2 linked regions of the Lepisosteus oculatus genome follow. The protein of the gene in region 1 purifies or fractionates together with the protein of each later gene. This does not show direct contact. Links are inferred from orthologs where the notes say so. Each region holds a gene or a part of one and is shown on either strand. Other genes may lie near its edges.

Region 1 (10,509 bases):
TAACACTTATTGGCTGGTTTAGGGTTAAGTTGCTAGACGTAGGGAAAAGGGTTTTTTGAGGTTCGATGACAGCTGAAATGAACCCTAGCAAATACCAGTCCCGGACCTTTGCATGCAATGGTGATTCCCCTTGCCTGTTCGAGGTCAGACACCTTCACACCACTCAATCAAGTCTTTTGGGATCACTTTCCAACACCAGTCCGAGTCCAAAGTTCTCACACGAGTGCTGAGTTTTCTGAACCACAGCAAAAAAAAACCAACATAAACAGATGGATATGGATATGTATAAAGTGACACCAGCATTGACAATGACTTTGGCTTTGATCCGAAAATACTTAAATCAGACAGAACAAAACCTCCATAGCGTAAAGCAACATGTATGAGCTTGACAAAGCAGCAACACTATAAAGCCAGGAGTATGCTCAAACAATTTTCAACACAAAGCCAAAGCCTCCTGTTGTTTTAACATTCAACACATATTTTAGGAACTCATTTTCACGGCACTGTTTTCTCAAGTCTGTCATTCACACTCATTCACTCTTGTAAAACAGAATGCTTGAGTCCTGGCTTGGGAAGGCCTGTGGCCTGTTAGCTGCGTGGCTGTGAGGTGTGGTTCTGCTGGGCTGGAGGAATCTGTGGAGTGTCCACAAAGTGCTGTCCAAGCATAACAGTCAAGACAGAGAAACTACACAGGCACAATTCAAATGTCTCTTGCACTGCGAAGTTCAAAAACAAAGTGAGAAGGCTGAAACACGTGACTATATACATAATACAGCTGCTTTAAAAAATTCTGTTGAACGCTACACAATCTTTAATTGAACCCTCTTCTTTTTGCAAGGGGTTCTGTTTTTTTTTCAACATAATAATCTTAAATAATTATATAAAAGAGGGTGGTGATTAACAATACACATTCCTCAACATCTGGCCCCCGGTTTAAAATATCAGTGATTTGCACTGTATGGATTGAAAATGATTAATACCTGCTTCAAAATACTACTTTTAAAATGGATATCATTAGCAACCTGTTTCTTTAACAACCTCAGAGCCACAGAGAATGAAGTACTATATAAGCACTGTGGGAAAATGATAAAAGAAGCCAAAATGTTAAACTGCCAGAGAAGTTTTGGGAGAAAGACTTTGGCACTTTTCCTAAATTCTTAGTCCAGTGTGAAATATCAGAATAATACATTTCAGCTTCCACTGGGATTCTGACCTGACTGTTTCAAAGGCTGAATGTCTGTGTTGAGCGAGACTTCAGGCCAATGTACAGAACCACAGTACAGAATTGTACAATATAAATTGTGTAATCTGAAAGAAAACAGGACTGGTAAGATGAATTCACACCTAGAGCAGTTTAAAGAGAATCAGGGGAATGTGCAGGAAATGGACCCTCTATACTAGGATTTTCCACAGTGTAGATTACTGCAAATGAAACTTGAAACTTTTTGTATTTCAGCATTGCACTAGAACGGGCATCTCCAACCGTACTCCTGGAGAGCCCCAGTAAACCAAAGCCAATGAGTCGTCAATCACCAAAGACGGGGAATAAATCACCTGCATTGAATCACTATTTTCTACATGAACATAATTTAGAAATCTGAAGATCAAAAGCTCCCTTAATCAAGCACTCTGTAGATTGCTTGATGATTACTAAAACATTGCCAGTCTTCAGAAACAGGTGATTTGGGGTTATCTATTAGACTTCCTGGATCGGGGGTGTCTAGTAGCAGGGCAGGGGACCCCAGTGATGCTATAATCTGTTCTTCGGCTGTGTCTAGACAAAAATGGCACACGGAGGGCAAAACATACTAGGAATTGCAGAACATGAAGGACATTTTCAGCAGGAATCTTCACCGTCCTTACATAACGACTCTAATTCAGTAGTTACCAGATGGAATACTTCTGCCTCCATGTCTAAGTGTGAACCCAGCTTTAGGAAAAGGCTCCTATGGGTAGGTCCTCAGTGACCTGGATCCCTCCAATTCCAGTTCTTTCGCATTCCAAGGTTTTGGACCGATCAGTTAGATGATCAATTTACAGATGTGGCTACAACAAAGTCCAGTGTTAGAGGAGACAGGGAGGTGGGGTCGTCTGGGAACCTCTTTGAGCTGCTGAAATTGCAGGAGCAGTGGAGTACAGATCCGACCCCCTGGGACAGGCCAGCTGGGTAAAGTGCTGGGTGCACACCCCTGACTCGTGCGTGCGTGCGTGTTTGCGTGTGTGGGGGCAGGGGGTGGCCGAAGGGCGGCGCAGGCCTGGTTTAGGGCGTGTAAGCAGGAGGGGGCTGGAACTGATTGGCAATGTCATAGTCAGCGGGGTACGTCTCGCTGCTCTCCTCCATCTCCGACAGCAGCTCCAGGGCCTGCTCCTCTTCCTCCGTAGGGTAGTGGCGCAGCAGGTTGGCGGCCGTGGCCAGGATGGAGGCCCCCCCGGCTCCAGCCACCAGGTAGAAACTGATGGCGAAGGTGACGTAGATGAGGGAGCCGTGGTACTTCTTGTGCTGCTGCTGGAGAGACAGGATGAGTTCGGAGGCCCAGTAGCAGAAGCCAATCACCGTGGCGCACTGCAACACTGCAGGAGAGGGGAGACGAATGACAAAGCAGAATTAACACAGCTTTGGGGCACACTGACATATCACACTTATCACCACTGCACACTTTCCCCAAGATCTTACTCAGCACTCCTTGAAAGTAAGACAAGATGTTACAGCAGGACTACCCATAGGTAATGCAACTGTTCCTTTCTGATGACATTAGCAGTTTCTTTGGGCTTGTTCCCTGGTTCTTCCCTGTGTTGGCCCGCTGGTCCAGAAACACAAGCTCCAGCTACCTGTGAGGATGTGCGCGAAGGCATAGCGGCGGGTGATTTTGAGGGCTGGGTGCTTGGGGCCGAAGACGTCCAGCAGGAAGGCACTCAGGCTGCAAAGTATGCCCAGGAAGCAGAAGGCAGCGATGACACGCAGCAGCAGGACAGTCTGGGGGTTCATGCAGTAACCTGTACAGAGGACGCACAGAGAACACGGAGGAGAATTAGTCTTTCTCTCTTTTATGGGATGAACAACAACAGTTCTGATCGCTGTCACAGAGAAGGAAACAGGAAGTGCACCATCTCAGTAGGTCTGCATTCCGTCTGCAAAACCAAGTCATTAACAACTCCAGTTTTCTCTTTAAGAAAGTTGGATGAATAGAACTAAGTCTAGATTTCATTCAATACAAAAAAAATACTAAGTGAAAAATACCTCCTATCGGCGTGCTGCTTTAAATCTGGGATAACTTGCATATAAATGTTCATTTCTTTCAAAAACCAATTGAACAATGCAGGAGAGAGCAGAAATACAAACTCAATCCACTCTGTTTTATCTTTCGCAATGATAAGACAACTTTGGCTTTTGGCAGAATACAACTTCCCTCAGCAGCTGCAGACGGCCATGCCTTGTCTGTCTCGTCACAATGAGTCACAGCTAAAGCTCGTCAAAGGTTTCAGTTCCAGACTCGCAGTCGTTCAGAACCACAGCCTGTTGCCTAAATTCACACGGCCTTGAGCTATTGCTGGTCATGCTCTACCTCAAGTTCCTGGTTTTGAAAAGATTCTTCCTCGTTTCTGTTGTTCCTGCTATAGCAAATCCTAAACGTATTTCTCAAGAAAACCAGGGAATTTTGGCAAGGTGATACCACAAACAAACGTATTAAATGTTTTGTGAAAAACAGCTCTTATTCCGTACTTAGTGCCTCACTATATATGACAGTAGACAAATTGTAATACAACTGACATCAACACAAGATCCTACGCTATAGTCTTGCAAAATCCTTTGTAATCTTCAGAGAAAGAGTCACTGCAAATATTACTCCGTACAAATTTCAGTTCCACTTAAGAGTCTTCTGGCCTATATCTGGTCTGCCTAAATCCATCTGTCCAGTTTCTAACTGCTTTATCCCATACAGGGTCGCAGGGAAGCTGGAGCCTACCCCAGCAAGCAATGGACACAAGGCAAGATACACCCTGGATAAGACACCAGTCCATCACTGGGAAAACACACACACTCTGACTCATTTTCCAAGATGTCCCTGGACTGTGGGAGGAAGCTCACACGAACACGGACAGAGCATACAGACTCCACACAGAAGTGACCCCAGGAACTGAATCCAAGACCCCAGCACCATGAAACAGCAATAGGAACCACTGTGCCCCCATGCTGCCCCCACCTGCCTAAATGTCCTCACTAATTCCATTACTGATGTAAAATCTCGGCTGAGCTGCTGGTACAGACTGGGTGCTACACATCACTCAGCTAGTGAAGTGTGTCCCCTCCGATGTGTAAAGAGCTTTTGGGATGAAATGGTTTAAAATTGCAAAAATTGAGTTTCTGATTTTAGGATTCCTTCATAATAGTAAGGTTTGAGAGTTTCTATGAGCTTTCTCAGCGCACAGGCCTGAAAATTATTAATAATAATAAATAACAATTCCTTACACGTATATAGTGCTTTTCTGGACACTCCACTCAAAGCACTTTACAGGTAATGGGGACTCCCCTCCACCACCATGATGTGACGGCAGCCATAGTGCGCCAGAACGCTCACCACACACCAGCTATCAGTGGGGAGGAGAGCAGAATAATGAAGCCAATTCATAGATATTATTAGGAGGCCATGATTGGTAAAGGCCAGGACACAGGAGTAACACCCCTGCTCTATTTGAGAAATGCTTTGGGATTTTTAATGACCACATAGAGTCAGGGCCTCGGTTTTGTCTCATCCGAAGGACGGTGCCTTTTCTACAGTATAGTGTCCCCATCACTATACTGGGGCATTAGGACCCATACAGACCTCAGAGTGAGTGCCCCCTACTGGCCCCACTAACACCTCTTCCAGCAGCAACCTCAGCTTTCCCAGGTACTGGTCAAGCTCACACCTTACTTTCAGTGGGCTGCCAGCTGGGAGTTGCAGAGTGATAAAGCTGTTTAACCATTAGGTTTCATGTTGGACAACATTACATGTTGTTTATGGGGATTTAAAATGTAAATGACATGTAACAAGTTACACATAATACACCTAGATTTATGACATTAGCCCCTGAATAAAATACATGATTCTTATTACAAGCTTCTTCCACAAACAATAAAGAACTTATTAACAGGTTTTACATCTCATCCGAAGGACGGCGCCTTTTTACAGTATACTTAATTAAGTCAATTAAGCTCAGATTTAATGGTGCAGTACGTCGATGGTTACCTTCCAACAGCTTAGGGTCCACATATCCCAGGACATCCGCTACGCCGAGCTCCTGTCGCGGGCAGGCCCCCCCGTGAACGCGCAGCCAGGCCGGCTCGGCCAGCGCAGTGCACAAGGCGGTGATGGACAGGGCTCCGGGCAGCGCCGAGGCCAGGCTCCTCTCGGGCTGCTTCGGGAGAGCGCTCCCCCCCGGCCCTCGCCTTCGCCGGCTCCCAGGCAGCCCGGGTCCCGGTGGCGCGTACATGTCGCCCACAGACGTGCTCTAATAACAGGCAACTAGCAGAGAAGGCGGTCTGGGTTTACAACAACCGCCCGCCGCTTTTAAAAGTGGTTAATTTAAATCCCGCCCGAGCCAGGCTTAAAACCCGAACACACAAATGGTAAACTATTCAACTATGAAATGATAAGGATTAAGTTCTATATTAAGACTGTAGATCTGAATGGATACTTAATGTATACACCGGCCGGGAAACAGCACAGAATTCCTTTTGTTACAGCGATTAGGACATTCAGCGGTCTTGCGTTTACGACGTCGTTAAATTCATTCGAATATTATGTAATCGCTAAACATTAGCCAGAAAAGGATTTTAAAATTCGAAACACTGCAATCAAATCGCATTAAGTAACAAACAACACTATCAGAATATTTTGGTTGTATGAACTATGTCTCTCGGCCTATGAAGACTTAACTAGGTAGTAAACTACAGTTTTGTGTAGTGGTATTTATCGACAAAAGTTCTGTACCCGGATCGGGTCTATATCGACTTGAATTACGGTGTCGAAAATCCCGGTTCCGATCTAACACTAAAATCATTAAATTATCGTCTAATTGTCTCTGGAAAACAAAAGACAACCTATCTCCTTCTGTGCTTCCTGTTTCCCGGAGGTGACAGCAAGTGACGTCTGATGGCGTAACTACCGTCCAAGAAGGTAATGAATTCTGGTAGTTGAAGTTGTTGAATATTTTCAAACTTTCTAACGGAAATGTATTTTATGACTTTTAAGAGGAAACGTAGTAACAGTAATAGTAAATTCCATGTTCGTTGACCCTTAATAGGCCACTACACATCTGTGAAGTCGACTGTCTTGTCTCCGCTTCATAGTTTCTCTGAACTATTTCAGATCATAAACTCAAGTTCCCAGAGTGCCCCTCGGCTGACTGACATAATCGAGGAGTGTGCGAAAAAGCACAAGTCTTTTGCACAGTTTACATTTCGGGGCTGAATGTATTAAAATATTGGTGTTATTTCCTGAAAAGGGATTAATGTAGATGTGTAACCCGTCGGTTAATCTGCGATTGTCTTCGGCGGTTATTAGCAGCTGCTGATAACTGCTGTGTTAATAGCGTTTTGTGAAGCACCGTAGTTGGTTAGCGTACAATTTTTAAGTTTCGGCTTTTACCAGGGGTCACCAAAGCACGGTTGTCATACGTATCATCATGAAAGACTCACTGAAACTGGTCACAAAGTTCAGCGGCCATCCAGATTCGAGGTGCTGGTACGTGGCGTGGAACCCCAATGGGACCCTGCTGGCTTCTTCGGGCGGCGACAGGGCCATTCGAATATGGGGCCGAGAAGGTATGTTCACCCGCAGGCGGCGGGCACTTTCAAGCTTCAGTCTGTGCGTCGTTTTAGCTCTGCTGACAAAACTGCGCGCCAGCTTGCTTAACTGACCTACTGCGCCGCGAAAATAAAGAGACCCTGGTGCCCATATCGAGCCACGACGTGTCTGTTACTGACGTGCAGTTCATAATTGAGGCATGTAAGAGTAAAAAGTGATCTGAAATACTGGACAAATACCGAATCTAACCTACCTTTCCGGATATATCTGTCAATGCAGGAACTGCTCACCGTTTATATTTTTAAGCATTAGCTGACAGTAAACATGCAACATTTAAATTCGCTTGATTTAGGAGAGTTCAAGTTTTATACTCAAGTTTAACTGGCACTGCATGTGTGCCGGAACGTTACCTTTCAGTTCAGAAGCATGATGTTAAAACAAATGGATAATGCGAACGCTCTTCAGCCGTCCTCCCCCGCGCATTTCTTCCCTGGATGTCTGCTCTTCCCTTACTCTCTTCCCTCCGGTGGCTGTGCAGGTGATGCCTGGGTGTGCAAGTCAGTCCTGCAGGACGGGCACCAGCGGACTGTGCGGAAGGTGGCCTGGTCTCCGTGCGGCACGTACCTGGCCTCGGCCAGCTTTGACGCCACCACGTGCATTTGGCGGAAGAAGGAGGACGATTTCGAGGTAACGTTAGCCCAGCGCCTGTCCGAGCAGAGAGAGGTCCTGACCCAGAGGAGTTACCTGGATAAGGACCCGGGTTTTTTTCAACGCGGTTAAAATGGGCGTTTTCTGTCTTGTCTGTCTTTCTGTCACAGTCTCTGACCACTCTGGAGGGTCACGAAAACGAGGTGAAGTGCGTGGCGTGGGCCCCCTCGGGCTCCCTGCTGGCTACCTGCAGCAGAGACAAGAGTGTGTGGGTCTGGGAAGGTCAGTACAGCGCCGACTCCTCTCACCCCTGCTGGGGCTTGCTTACCTGTTGGACCTGCAACCCTGCTGTTAAATCCAAGTTAATTGTCTTTCTTTTTTTTTTCTTTAAAAGAGGAGGAGGGTGGCTGATGTAAAAAGTATGGTTTATTTTGAAAAAATAAGCAGGGCACTTACATTTTTTCCTCAGTAAACAAACTCCAGTTGTTTTAGTTGCAGTCAATACACAGTTTTAAGTGAGATTTCTTTAAATATTCCCATATGTTTAGTCATTTTCTTCTAGTGCCAGAGGCAGTGCCAATATTCCACTTATCTTCTGTCATGTGATTTGACGGCTTATGTAATCAAGCATCACTTGATTAGTGGTCTGTAGCCACTGATTGACTGGAAAGCCCATCAGGACTGGTGGTCTTGAGGACGAGAGTGGGAGACCAGATTTCTGAAGGACCACAATCTGGCTGGCTTTTTTTCTGAGCTCCGACAGTGGTTTAAGGAAACCTGCCGGACTGGTGCTGAGTGCCAGCTGACCCGCTGTCTGTCTTGCAGTGGACGAGGAAGAGGAGTACGAGTGTGTCAGTGTGGTGAACTCCCACACTCAGGACGTCAAGCACGTGGTATGGCACCCCACGCAGGAGGTACGACTCTGCTGTCTTCCCCGTGTGCGGGGTAGGGCTCTGTCATTGCTGCAGTCTGTGATCCCCCTCTCTCTCTCGATTGCTCAGACCCAGTCTCTCCCACAGCCTGTTCCTCTTCTGCTTCCCTTCTTGTTTTCATCCAGTGCATAATGAAGTAGGCTTGAAGAAGACCTTTTTATTATCACCAGTATTTAGAAAATTATAGATTTTCACGTATCTGCCAAATCTTAAGGAAAAGCACCTGACGAGGTTTTTTAAGAGCTCGAAACAATGAAAAAAGCAGCTTGCCCCTTCAATGAAGGGTTTAAGTAAGGGTGTAAGGACGGAGTGGGGAAATGACTGCTGTCCGTCACATGTGATAAACTCAATAATCCAGGGGTCTATATGGAAGTGCATATAAATGGAGAACAGGAGGCGCTTCTTTACTGAAAGGGCGATGGGAGTCTGGAACAAGCTACCCAGCCATGTTATTGAAGCTGAAACCCTGGGCTTTTTCAGGAAACAGCTTAATGAGATCCTTGGATCCATGAATTACTAGCTGCCAATTAGAGTGAATGGTCTCTTCTCCTTTTAAGCTCTTAGCAGTTGATATCCTCTCTTTGTTTGCTGGAAGCTGCCTGTGAAGTGTAAGCGTCTCAGTTTGTAGACAGGCTGAATCTTTGGCGCAGCCGGGACGCTCTTTCCTTCCTTTCTAGAATATTCTCTCCTGGCCCTGTGGTTGAAAACTCCAGTGGTCTCAGCTTGTCGTGCGTCTCTCTCTCCTCCCCCCCCACGCAGCTCCTGGCCTCGGCCAGCTACGACAACGCGGTGAAGCTGTACCACGAGGACGATGACGACTGGGTGTGCCTGACCACCCTGGAGGGCCACGAGTCCACCGTGTGGAGCCTGGCCTTCGACCAGAGCGGCGAGCGGCTGGCCTCCTGCAGTGATGACCGGACCGTCCGCATCTGGAAGGAGTATCGCCCCGGCAACGAGCAAGGTCTGCAGCAGTCACTCCCCTGGTTCAAGTGTCCAGGAAAGATGAGCCTGTTTCATATCTCGGTTTTGGGACTCTGACGTGCCTCTGCAGGGGATTAGTAAGGACCCTTCTGGTTTCCCTTGTTCTTTATGCTGAAGCATGTTACAAGTTTGGTCTAATCTTAAATGCCTTAGGATGGCATGGAGGTGCAGTGGTCAGCACTGATGCCTCACAGTGCTGGGGCTCTGGGGTTCAATTCCAGACCTGGGATGCTGTCTGTGAGGAGTTTGTATGTTCTCCCATGCTCATGTGGGTTTCCTCTCACAGTACCAAAAAGATACCGGTAGGCTAATTGGCTTCTGTGAAAATTGGTCCTGGCATGTGTGTGCGCATGTTTGAGTCTGTGTGTGTGCCCTGCGCTCGACTGGTGTCCCACCCATGGTGTATCCTGCCATGTGCCCATTGTTTAGCAGCTTGCATTAAAATTGGAACGTTAAAATATTAAAATAACATTAAAATAACAGCTGAATCCAAGCAAATACCACAGTAGGACAGAGCCACGACGGGTGATGTCAGATGAGGAGGGTTTGTGTTGGGTCTGAAACGGTGTGTGTTTTGCAGGAGTGGTGTGCAATGGGACTGACCCCACCTGGAAGTGCATCTGCACTCTGTCCGGCTATCACACGCGCACCATCTACGACATTTCCTGGTAAGATTCCTCCTCCCAACTGGTACTGTTTAAGGGAGAAACAAACACTGTTTTACTCTATAGTGGAAATAGATGAACAAGATGCACTTCCATCTTCCCACATGGCTACAGGTTCCTTTCCCACTGTTTCCCGAGACTTTCAGTCCAGTCCCACTGCCAAGACATTTAGACCTAAAAACCAAATAGCAACTTTTATAGATTTTTTAAAATAGTTTTAGACCACAGCCACTGTATGTCAGAAAAGCTAGAAACAGACTTTTGCCTCCATCATTCAGTGCAGGCGGAAGTCTGAATTTCCCAGAATTCCTGTATACCACTGGTATAAGACAACTGTCTCTATTGTGCTGCCAGGTGTCACCTGACTGGCGCCATGGCGACAGCCTGCGGCGATGATGCCATCCGCGTGTTCGAGGAGGAGTCTTCCTCCGACCCCCACCAGCCCACCTTCTCCCTGATGGGCCATGTGGCTAAGGCCCACGCACAGGATGTCAA
Region 2 (10,506 bases), on another chromosome or scaffold:
AGTACTTTATATATTTAATACTACAGTGACAGAACAGAAAAGTTGTATATTGTCATTACCACATTTCACACTTAGCCTTATAAAAGAAAACTTCAGTGTTTCATGAAATGAAGATACGCTATGTGTATGTTCCTACCAGCATGGAAAACAATATAAAAGTTTTACTTGTCTTCAAATATAAAAAAGTCTTCCACACATCTTTCATCTTTATTATTACTTTTGTACACACAAAAATGATTTTTAAATAGAGTATAAGAGTTTATTTGCTGTGGTATGACCAGGGTAACCTTTACTACTGATTATGGATTCATACACTCAGCACCTCGGCATACCTCACCCTATAACTCTGGGATATGAGATGCAGGGTGATGTTATAAAGCCTTTTTGAGGTGTGAGAATGTGTCTTATATACCAGTAAATATGGTATATTGTTCCAGAACCAAAAGCATGTGACTGGAATCAGGCTCATTTGAGCCAGACCTTGAAAATTAACGCCACAATGTTCAACTTTTTCAGGTACTAGTGTGGTTGAGGTGAACGTAATTTTATTGTTCCACTATTAAGTTATCTGTTCAGGAATTTATCCAATGTGCCTCACATTTGCACTAATTTATACAGGTGCATGTGTTACTGAAGAACCTTTGCTTCAGGGATTGGTGATGTGCAATAAAATCACAACTAACTTGTTGCATTCCTGTGATTTTACACCTTAATGGGCCTCCAGTCCTGTTACCCAGTGAGAATCAGAAAAGAAAATGTAATTGTGGGCAATGATCATGTTCTCTGTAACACCCACATGGTAAACACTGACCTACGTGAGACTTATTACATTTTTTGGGAGACTGCAGGCCCTCTTAAGAGGATTTTCTGTTTGTTTTTTATAACAAGCAGAAGATAAACACTGGCCTGATTTGAAGACGCTGAGCTGCCTTTGCTGTGTGTTACAGGTACGACCACTTCACCGTGCTGTGTGAGCTCTTTCCTGTGGGCATCCCATCCCTGGCAGTGTGTCTTCAGAGCCTGGCACACGGTCAGCCTGGGGGAGAGAGGGGGATTCTGGGAGTGACGTCAGCGTACTGAATTTGTTGTGTAGTGTTAACCAGAGGAAATATCTAATACAGAATACCTGCAGCCGGGTTCCCAGCTGTGGTGCTGAAATATGTACCATCAGATTTTATTGGGTTTTGAGATCCTAAGAAGGGCACTTAATACAATGTCCAGACCACTTCAGAATTGTTAATAATTACAATATTAAGACATTATGGCTTGTAACCATTCTGTGACCACTATTTTTCTCACTGTTGGTAGTTTCTACACTGTCTTTTAGTTAAATGTGTGCATCTGCTGTTGAAATCTGCCTTTAATCTGTCCCCCCTCCCCCCTCCCCTCCCCCCTAACTGTGCTCCAGGTGGGTTTAATGAAGAGGCGAAGAAGCAAGTTCTGCACATGCTGGGCTGCAAGAACATCAACCTGGAGAAGAGTCTCTGGTAAGGAGATTTCTGCTCCATCATACTGCTGTCAGGTGTGTCAGACTGCTCCTGAGCTCTTCAGAGAGAACCAGTTGCTTTTGGAAGGTGGAGTCCATACCAATGAGGTTGACGTGGCAGTGTGTCTATGGTATTGTGCGCTCGGATTATGAAGAGCTGCAGAAAAAACGAACGTTTTGGACAGTAAATTGTTTTGTCTTTGAACGGATCTTGTGATAAGAGTTCCTCAAGGCCGCTCCTTGAAGACAAACAAACAGTCGAGCCTGTTTTGTTGAATTACTGATATTGAAAACAGCATTTGAGGCCTGTGCAGGAGGATTAAACTGATCCACATCTGAGGTCATAGAACCCTCTTCCTGAGGTCTTGTGCTGTTGGTGATGTAAGAGAGTCAGAGCACACAAGACTTCAGATTGTGTCTGAGCTGTGGGTGACTCCGGACATGGCAGATGGCCAGAATTCCAGGTGCAGAACCTCTGCTTTCTGCCATCACTGTATGTGAATGTGCTGCAGCACCAAAAAAAACCACACACGAGTCTGATTTGATTTTGTCAAGACAGGGACAGCCTATGATTTTCCTAGGCAAACTGCACCCAAAGGTGAATCGGAGTCCTCTCTGTACCCTTCAAAATGAACACCGTCCAGGCTCCTGAGTGACACAATCATTAAAGGCACTGGTCCGAGCGGAGGTTGAGCTCTTTAAACTACGTGTCACGGGTTCGAGTCCAGTTGACTGTGACCAGGATCTCCCATGCGGCGGCACGCGATTTGGCTGAGCTCTGCCTAGGCTGGGGTGGGATTACACACAGCGCCCCCTTGTGGCCCCCCCGCACACACTGGCCCTCCAGTACCCTCTGGTGTGTGTGGTGTGTTAAAGGACGAGCGCAGAATGGGGGATTGTCTGAACTTCCTCATCCTACCCATAAGGTTGCAGGGTTTGGGGCTGCAGTTTGAAAATGCACGAATGGAGAGTTCAAAATCAGGTGCTTCGTAACAAAAAACACTAAAAATATGTTTTTTTTTTATTTGCAGCGAAGGGGGTGGGGCGTTCCCGGGCTATGAAGTGTACCAGATGGTCCTGCACATCAGAGAGAACCTGAAGAGCCAGATCCACCAACAGTTTGACAACCAGTGAGCTGCTGTTTCAGTTTTAGTTTGAAAACAGTCCTCTGGAGCTCAGAGCTCAGCTCCTGGTGATGAGAGTGATAAACTCACCTTGACTTCCTCTGTGTAAGATCTTATAGTAAGGAAGTCAGTAGTCATAATCCCAGCATAATAATTTTACTTGGGGTATTTCCCCTGTTGTCAATGAAGGGCTGAAGCATTGGATAGAATTAAGACGGACAAACAGTGAACCTTGTTTTGTTTTAAAGAAACCTGCTTTAAAATAACAGATTATTTTGTTTTTCTGATGGATTTTGTACATCCAGAAGTCCGCTGTTAAACTCGTCGGTTTAAAATGCTTTAAATGAATTAATTTCAATTGAATGCGCTCATTGATTCTCCAACAGACACTTGAAAGGCTGGTTCTCCCGCTACCACAGGAAGTACAAGTTTGGGAATCCTCGGAACATGGAGTTTTTCAAAGACAAAATGAGCAAGTAAGTCAAGAAGGTCTCAAGACTGGCCAGTTCGAGCAGCTGTTACTGTGACCTGAGAACTGCTCAGCAGTCTGACAAGAGGGTTACAGCAGGGAAACAAGAATGGCCCAATCTACAGTAGCAGGCTGTATGCAATATGTCACCTGTACATTTTCAATTTGGAAAGACCTGGTAAACATGTGAGTTGTGATCAAGTTAGAAAATTGATTTCCTTCCCTCAGGAATGTCCAGCTGGGGTCCTTGAGCCTGGCCAATAGTAATGTACTTATAAATCTTCTGCTTAATTGCACACATCACATGCTTCAGTGGTCAAACTGATAGTGTTCCAAGTGTCTGGTGATTTGAGGTTGAGCTGTTTAACCTGATTGTCAGTGGTTCGCTCGCCCCTTAGTGTCGACTCTTTCTAGCCCTGAAATGTAAAAACTGCGTTGCAGTTGCTCTTTAATGCAGGTGCACTGTAGTCTCATTGTTATTTGGAAACAGAGCTCTGATCTGTGGCTGTGAAGTCTCGGGAGGGATCTGGGTGGTACAGTGGGGCAGACGTGCCCGTGGCTCAGGGGGGCTCTGTGCTTGTGGCGCAGGTTGCTCGAGGAGTGGGAGGACTACCTGCAGAACTTCCGCACCCAGATGGAGGCCATCTACTTCGCCGACACCGTGGAGGAGTGGATGGAGGAGAACGTCAACGAGCACATGGACAAGCTGAGGGAGCTGGCCGCCGACTTCGAGCAGGTCATCAAGAGCAGGGGCGGCCAAAAACCCCTCTGAGGGCAGCAGGACGTCCCCGGAACCGGACGTGGTGGTGGTGGGTGGGGGCCGCGGGCCGTAGAGACGGACTGTTCTGGCTGGACCATGTGCTCCTGTTCCATTGCCCAGCATCTGAGAGGGACAGGGGGCGCTGGAGAGCGGTGGAGGAGACTCTGCCCTCCTGCCTGTGTGCACGTGCCCCCAGTGGCACTTCATGACACCTAATAGGGGCAGAGGGCACAGAGTGTTTAAAAGATCACTTCTTTTTTATTAAGAACATAATGTACATATTGAAGACAACCCTAGAGTTTCGTTGTTGAAACCAAAGCCTCTGTCATAAGATCTAAACTCGGATCAGAAAGGCCAATTAACTAACCCTATTGGATTGACGGGGGCTCCATTCCTCACTGCACTTTTACCTGATTTATAAACCCCAGAAGCTCCCTAGAGAAGAGGGGGCTGTAACCCTGGATATTTTCTGTTTCCTTGTATTACAGCCTCCTGGTGCAAGGAAGTCAATAGGCTGGGGGGTGCATACAATCCAATATTCCTGAGCACTTCAACGGGAATTTTGTTTTCCATGCAGTTTACAATCACTGCATTGCCACTGCAGTTTTTTTACTTTGCTTTTAGAAAAGTTGATATTGCTAAAAAAGTAAATATGTTCTCTAGGGGAAAAAACAACAACATTTAAAGCATGGGTCTCTTCTGTTTCCAGCTTCCTCAGAAAAGTACTTTCATTATCTCTCTTACTTCAGCTCAGGGTTTTTTCTTACTGTAAAATAGAGCTATTCCTTCTGATTATAAAATGTAACACGGATCTGGTAAAAAAAAATAAAACCTAATAGTGATGAGAATTTATGTTTTGTGTAGCACACTTAGAAAACTGTTTAAAAGTCTGGAACAGGGGCATGATACTCAAAGTCATTTATTCTATGAGCCTGAAAATCACTGAGTTCAAATAAATAACTGTGAAATAAACTGGAGGTTTATGTTTAGAATATTTTGAGTCTCTTTTTTTCTGTTCCACTGTGTAACTTGGCTGATTTGATCGTAAGAGGGGCACAAGGTAACCAGGTTAAGTTCTCAGCTCTGATTTATTTTGAGTTTGACACTGTATGTTCCATTATGGTTCAATATTAAAGATCAAAAGTCAAAATGATTGTCCAATTATGCTCCTCGCTTCACGAACGACAACAGCTAAGTACCCGCTGTGCTCCGTTGTGTTTTGGTTGGTCAATTATGCAAATCTGATAATGATATTGTATGTTATACGATTTGTTTTTTGTTTGCGTTAAAATTAAAGATGAACACAAATACACAAAAGGGAATGTCTGCCTGCCTCTGCAGTCCTGCTAGGTGTAGGCTGCGTAAAAGTATTTCCAGTTTCAATGTTATTCTGGATCCTTAAAACCACAGTAGTTTTTTTGAATGTTTTTCGAATGGAACTGTCCACCTGCTTTTGAACCCTTGAACTAATTAAAGGCGTTTCTAGTGATGTAATAATAAATATAATGTAAGCGAATTTCGCTCTAAACTGAGCCGTGCGTAAAAATATTTTGTATAGTCAGCCGTTTTAGACACTAATCCACTTGAACCGCTTACCTTGACGCCAAAGAAACTGCGACCTCTGAAGGACATCCGAGGTACAAGTGTTAATTTTGCGACAGTACGGCACGAAACGTACAGTACGTATCGTGTTTCCAAGTTACAAAATAACAAACCAACGCACGGCAGCGTGGCAGGAAGATGGCTTCTCATTTTAGTGGAGTTTTGCAGCTGACAGATCTGGACGATTTTATTACTCCGTCCCAGGTAAGAGAACGTTTTTAAAATTTGAGTTGTCGGAATCAAGTCCGTTTTTTTTATTCATCCAGTTCTTCGAATGGGAGGAAGGCAATCAGTTCTCGCCGGGTTTTTTTTTTACAGGAACATAGACCGCAAAAGTGAAATTGTTGAGGTTAAATTTAAGGTATAAGGTTAAATATTTTTTTCCCGACATTCAGAACACGTTCCCTGGTATAAATGTGAATGGACCATTATGTGTTTTCTAACCTGTTTAACACGAGATCTGGTCCCGAACTTCATATTATATATCGACGTTAGCAGGGTTGTGCGACTGTCAAGCTTTCGACGAATCAATTCAAACCGCTGTGTCTTACTTGTGAAAATAGTTTTCCTATTCCTGCTGGCATCTCGGATTACACAACGTAATTTCTGTGTTAAACCTCTCGAGTTAATAAAAGCAAAGTCGCTTTCGAGGACATTGTGTGATGTGATAGTACTGGTTTTAAATAAGATACTTCAAGAGCAGGCTCTTTCTTTCTTGTGTCACCTTAGCTAATGTAGCAGGGCTGTATAACTCCAGTGTGAAATAACTGTTACGTTGGGCCAGTTCAGTTTTTTAGTGCTTTTCTGGACACTCCACTCAAAGCGCTTTACAGGTAATGGGGACTCCCCTCCACTACCACCACCAGTGTGCGGCCCCACCTGGATGATGCACCAGTCTGCTCCCCACACACCAGCTCTCAGTGGGGAGGAGAACAGAGTGACGAAGTCAAGTCAGGAGGAAATTTGGCCAGGACACTGAGGTTAACACTCCTTCACTGTTTGGAAAAAATGCCCTGGGATTTTTACTAACCACAGCGAGTCAGGAGCTCAGGTTTTACACCATTACTATACTGGGTCATTAGGACCCACACAGGCTGCAGGGTGAGTTGTTGGCTTCTGGGTGTTTTATATATTGTGAGATCCTTTAAATGCAGAGATCAATCACTTCTTTCTAGTACAGAGCTGTTTATAACTAAGGAGGCGCAGAAACAACTTTGGCATCTGGACTCCTAGGACTGAGGCTTTCAAACCCCTGTTGTATAGTATCACCTTGCCAAGGAAGATTAAACCAGGCAGCTTTCCGCTGAAATTCGACTCCCTCCTCTGCTCTAAGCATAAAGCGCTTGTCTTCCGGAATATGTTGGCAGCGGTGTAGCTAACTTGTTACACCCTTTCGTGTGTTGGGAGTGTTTTTTTTTTCTGTTGTTGCGTCACATGTTTAACATGTAGTGGACAAGTTTTGTCTGAGCCCCTGTTCACAGCGGTTAACTGCCCCGAAAGCCTGGAGTCTAGTGATAAGACACTTCTTGTGTGCTGCCCAGAGATGACTCGGTATCTCTGTGCCGCCAGAGAGTTACACTGTGCAGGTCAGACCCTGTACTCTGTCTGTGAGAGGGATAGCTGCACATCCTCCAGAGTCTGGTGGCAGAGGAAAGCTCAGGACCCTCCTGCCTCAGGCTGGCCCACTGCTCGCTCTTCCTGACTGGGGGGGGAAGGGCCTGAAAGAGTCAGAGCAGGGCTGGAGCAGGCCGGGAACTCTGAACCCACTTGGCACAGCTCACGCCTGGAGGTCCTGGGCAGAGGGCACCTCCCTCTCAGAGATGTGCAGAGGGTGAGGTAACGCCATGGGTATCAGGCAGTTATACTCTCACTCAACTGAGGGCTTTGCTCCCTGGCTCTAGCTTCAAAAACCAACAAGTCAGGGCTTGTTCCTCACTGACACGCAGGAAGAAGAGGAACAGGAATGTTTCAGCTGTCTTCAGGTGTGACAGGTGTGTGTCTTTGCCGGCACAGCTCCCCCCCTCGAGCGGCTCAAAAACTGTCCAAACTTTTAATAATAATAATCATTAATAATTGCTTACACTTATATAGCGATTTTCTGGGCACTCCACTCAAAGCGCTTTTACAGGTAATGGAGACTCCCCTCCACCACCACCAGTGTGCAGCCCCACCTGGATGATACAACAGCAGCCATAGTGTGCCAGAACGCTCCCCACACATCAGCTATCAGTGGGGAGGAGAACAGAGTGATGAAGCCAATTCATAGACGGGGATTATTAGGAGGCCATGATGGCCCAGGAGGTCTCCCATCCAGGTACTGGCCAGGCTCACACCTGCTGAGCTTCAGTGGGTTGCCAGTTGTGAGTTGCAGAGTGATATGGCTGCTGGCTTTTCCTGGTTGTTGAGTTTTTCTGAGCTCTGGCCTTGCCTCTTTTTGTGAATACCTCAGGAGTGCGTTAAGCCGGTGAAGGTTGAGAAGAAACGGGGGAAGTCGGTGGCCAAAATTAAAATCGAAGACGATGGGAGCTACTTTCAGGTTAACCAGGTGAGGAGACCAATTTTAAAGGAAGACCAATTTCACATATGACAGCTGTGTGTTAGTTGGCGAGTTATAATCCTGCAAGTACAAGAGGTTCTTTACTTTCACTCCTTCAAGCAGTAAGTGAATGAATTAGTCTGGCGATGGGGCTGTGTTGATGCCACAGTAATCCTGCTCATTATGAGGAGGTTTAGAGATTTGATGTTGGGCTGCGAAGACAATAATGCAAAGCTGCCGTCGTTGGGGATTTTGACTGACCCTGAGAAACAGAAATGCATCTTCTCTTTGTTTTAAGTAGAGATCTTTTCTGGAATTATGGTGTCAGCCAGCCTGAGCTGCCTGAGGGCTTGTGTGGCCGGGCCATGGGTAGCCTGGGTAGTCTGGGTAACCTGGGTAACCCGGTTGCCTGGGTTACCTGGGTTGCCCAGACCGTAACGCTGCCCGTCTGTGTGTGTGTGTGTTTCTGGGCAGGATGGTGGGCTGCAGAAGCTGGAGAAAGCGAAGATCACGCTGAACGACTGCCTGGCCTGCAGCGGCTGCATCACATCCGCGGAGAGCGTCCTGATCACGCAGCAGAGCCACGAGGAGCTGTACAGGGCCCTGGAGCACAACAAGGTTCCCCGCAGCGCGCACGCCCACACCCGTGCCATGCAGTAACAAATGAATCAGTGGGCACAAAAGGACATTTCAGGGAATTGCATTTAAAATGAGAACAGGAGGCACATCTTTACACAAAGAGTAGTGGGAGTATGGAATCGGCTACTGTGTTGTTGAAGTGGATACCATGGTGTCTTTCAAGAAACAGCAGGATGAGATTTCTGGGATCTGCTTTTAACTAGATGGGCTGAAAGGCCTCCTCTCGTTTTTCTTACTTTCCTCTGGCTGTGAGACTAGATTTTGAGAGGGTCTGAGAGCTACATATTTTACAGAACGGCTGCCAAAGGCCTTTAATACAGGAATAAGGAAGCAGGAGCACACAGCCGTCTTGGAGAAGATGCCCCACTCACCTGCCACACAGCTGCAGAGATGGAAGGGCTTAAGAGACAAGATAGAGGTTCTGGACTTTTACAAGACTGTAATGAAAACCGTAGGACTCAAAGTACATGCAGTAGTTGGTCATTCAAAAAATAATTCAAACACGTCATTTTTATTTCTGAATGTTCAATTTTTTCGCCAGCTTGCAAAGCCATGGTGAATTATTATTTCTGGGTCCAGCTTGGCGCTGTTTAGGTACTGCAGTAGGTCTGGAGTGCCAGTTAACCAGCTTGTTTTGTGTTCTCACCTGACCACAGATTTACGCCTTAAAAAGACAAATGCACAGCGCTGAACTGCTGTGCTTACAATAAAATCGTACAACAACTTCAGTCATTCATATTCAGAATGTGGCATCATTTTTCAGTTTTCAAGAACAGAAAAAAAGACTAAAAATATTTCATGTTAGAGAGGGAGGTCTGTGTTTTTCCATAGGAATTGGATTTCTAGGACTCTTGCTTTTTGAGATAAAGTTTACAGCAGCATCTGATCCACTGCAAGTGATTCGTAGTGCCTGTCTAATTCATTCGAAAGTTGCTGATTATCTGAGGGATCTGCTCCCTCAGTGTGTGAAGGGGTTCCAGTCTAAGCTGGGGTGGATGATATTCTGGGCCCAGCAGAACTGTGCTGTCCGGGAATGGGACCCGTACTGAGGTTGGACATGATCTCTGTCTCACAGCAGATGGGTGCTCCGCAGAAGGTGGTGGTGGTCTCCGTGTCGCCCCAGTCCAGGGCGTCCCTGGCTGCCCACTTCAACCTGAGCAGCTCGGACACGGCGAGGAGGCTGACGTCTTTCTTCAAGAACCTGGGTGAGCAAGTGGACAGACCAGCAGGCCACAGGGTTGTGCTCATCAGTGTGGATGAGCATCCAGTTAATGGCATCAGGAGATCATAAAAGTCATTTTTCTTTTTTTCAGTTGGATTAGTTATGGTTAATCTGATCTGTACTCCCTGGCATATCAGTATGCCTGTGCCTTTATTTATAGCACCGGGGCCGAAGGCAAGTGATTTTGGTACAGATTGTGTAATAATGGCAGATAAAACAAAACAGCAAGCCTCCGAAATAGCTTCTTCTCCAGAGCCGTCAAGCTGGTGACCTCCCCAACTCCCAGCCACCAAACCATGATCTCTCCTCACTTCTTCCTGTGACCACACAACGACTGTACTCCCACACCACTACATACACCATAACTCTGAACTTGGACATAAAACTGCACTTGATTGAGTTGCACTATTTGATAACGCTGTATTATTTTGCACTGTTTGTGTACTTTTGCACAGTTCTTAACAGATATGGATACTGTCATACCGGTACCATACTTGTTGTTTACATTGTTATTGTATTTACTGTCTGTTGTCTTGTCTGCTGTTCTGTGTATACTGCACCACAGTGACTAATGAGAAACACTTTTCATTATACTATGCACCTGTGTAAGTATAATGACAAATAAAGTTGAATTGAACTGAATTAAACAGATAGACAATAAGACAGTT

The links.
Region 2: the proteins of ciao1 (region 1) and narfl purify together in Homo sapiens (affinity purification with western blotting; 3 studies listed by BioGRID and IntAct, with this or other methods). This does not show direct contact. The link is inferred for Lepisosteus oculatus from reciprocal best matches to the Homo sapiens genes CIAO1 and CIAO3.

Annotation. Positions count from the first base shown.
Region 1 is NC_090697.1:70,186,749-70,197,257, forward strand, and holds the start of ciao1 (probable cytosolic iron-sulfur protein assembly protein ciao1), read left to right. Parts: upstream 1-6,387; 5' UTR 6,388-6,666; coding exon 6,667-6,805; intron 6,806-7,326; coding exon 7,327-7,475; intron 7,476-7,606; coding exon 7,607-7,718; intron 7,719-8,261; coding exon 8,262-8,350; intron 8,351-9,127; coding exon 9,128-9,329; intron 9,330-9,929; coding exon 9,930-10,017; intron 10,018-10,368; coding exon 10,369-10,509. Other genes in the region: tmem127 (transmembrane protein 127), read right to left, coding at 2,261-2,571, 2,830-2,994, 5,229-5,472. UniProt on the Homo sapiens protein: Key component of the cytosolic iron-sulfur protein assembly (CIA) complex, a multiprotein complex that mediates the incorporation of iron-sulfur cluster into extramitochondrial Fe/S proteins.
Region 2 is NC_090714.1:11,350,402-11,360,907, reverse strand, and holds the start of narfl (cytosolic Fe-S cluster assembly factor narfl), read left to right. Parts: upstream 1-5,539; 5' UTR 5,540-5,579; coding exon 5,580-5,645; intron 5,646-7,890; coding exon 7,891-7,986; intron 7,987-8,451; coding exon 8,452-8,595; intron 8,596-9,691; coding exon 9,692-9,821; intron 9,822-10,506. Other genes in the region: hexosaminidase D, read left to right, coding at 948-1,030, 1,409-1,487, 2,518-2,616, 2,997-3,086, 3,668-3,851.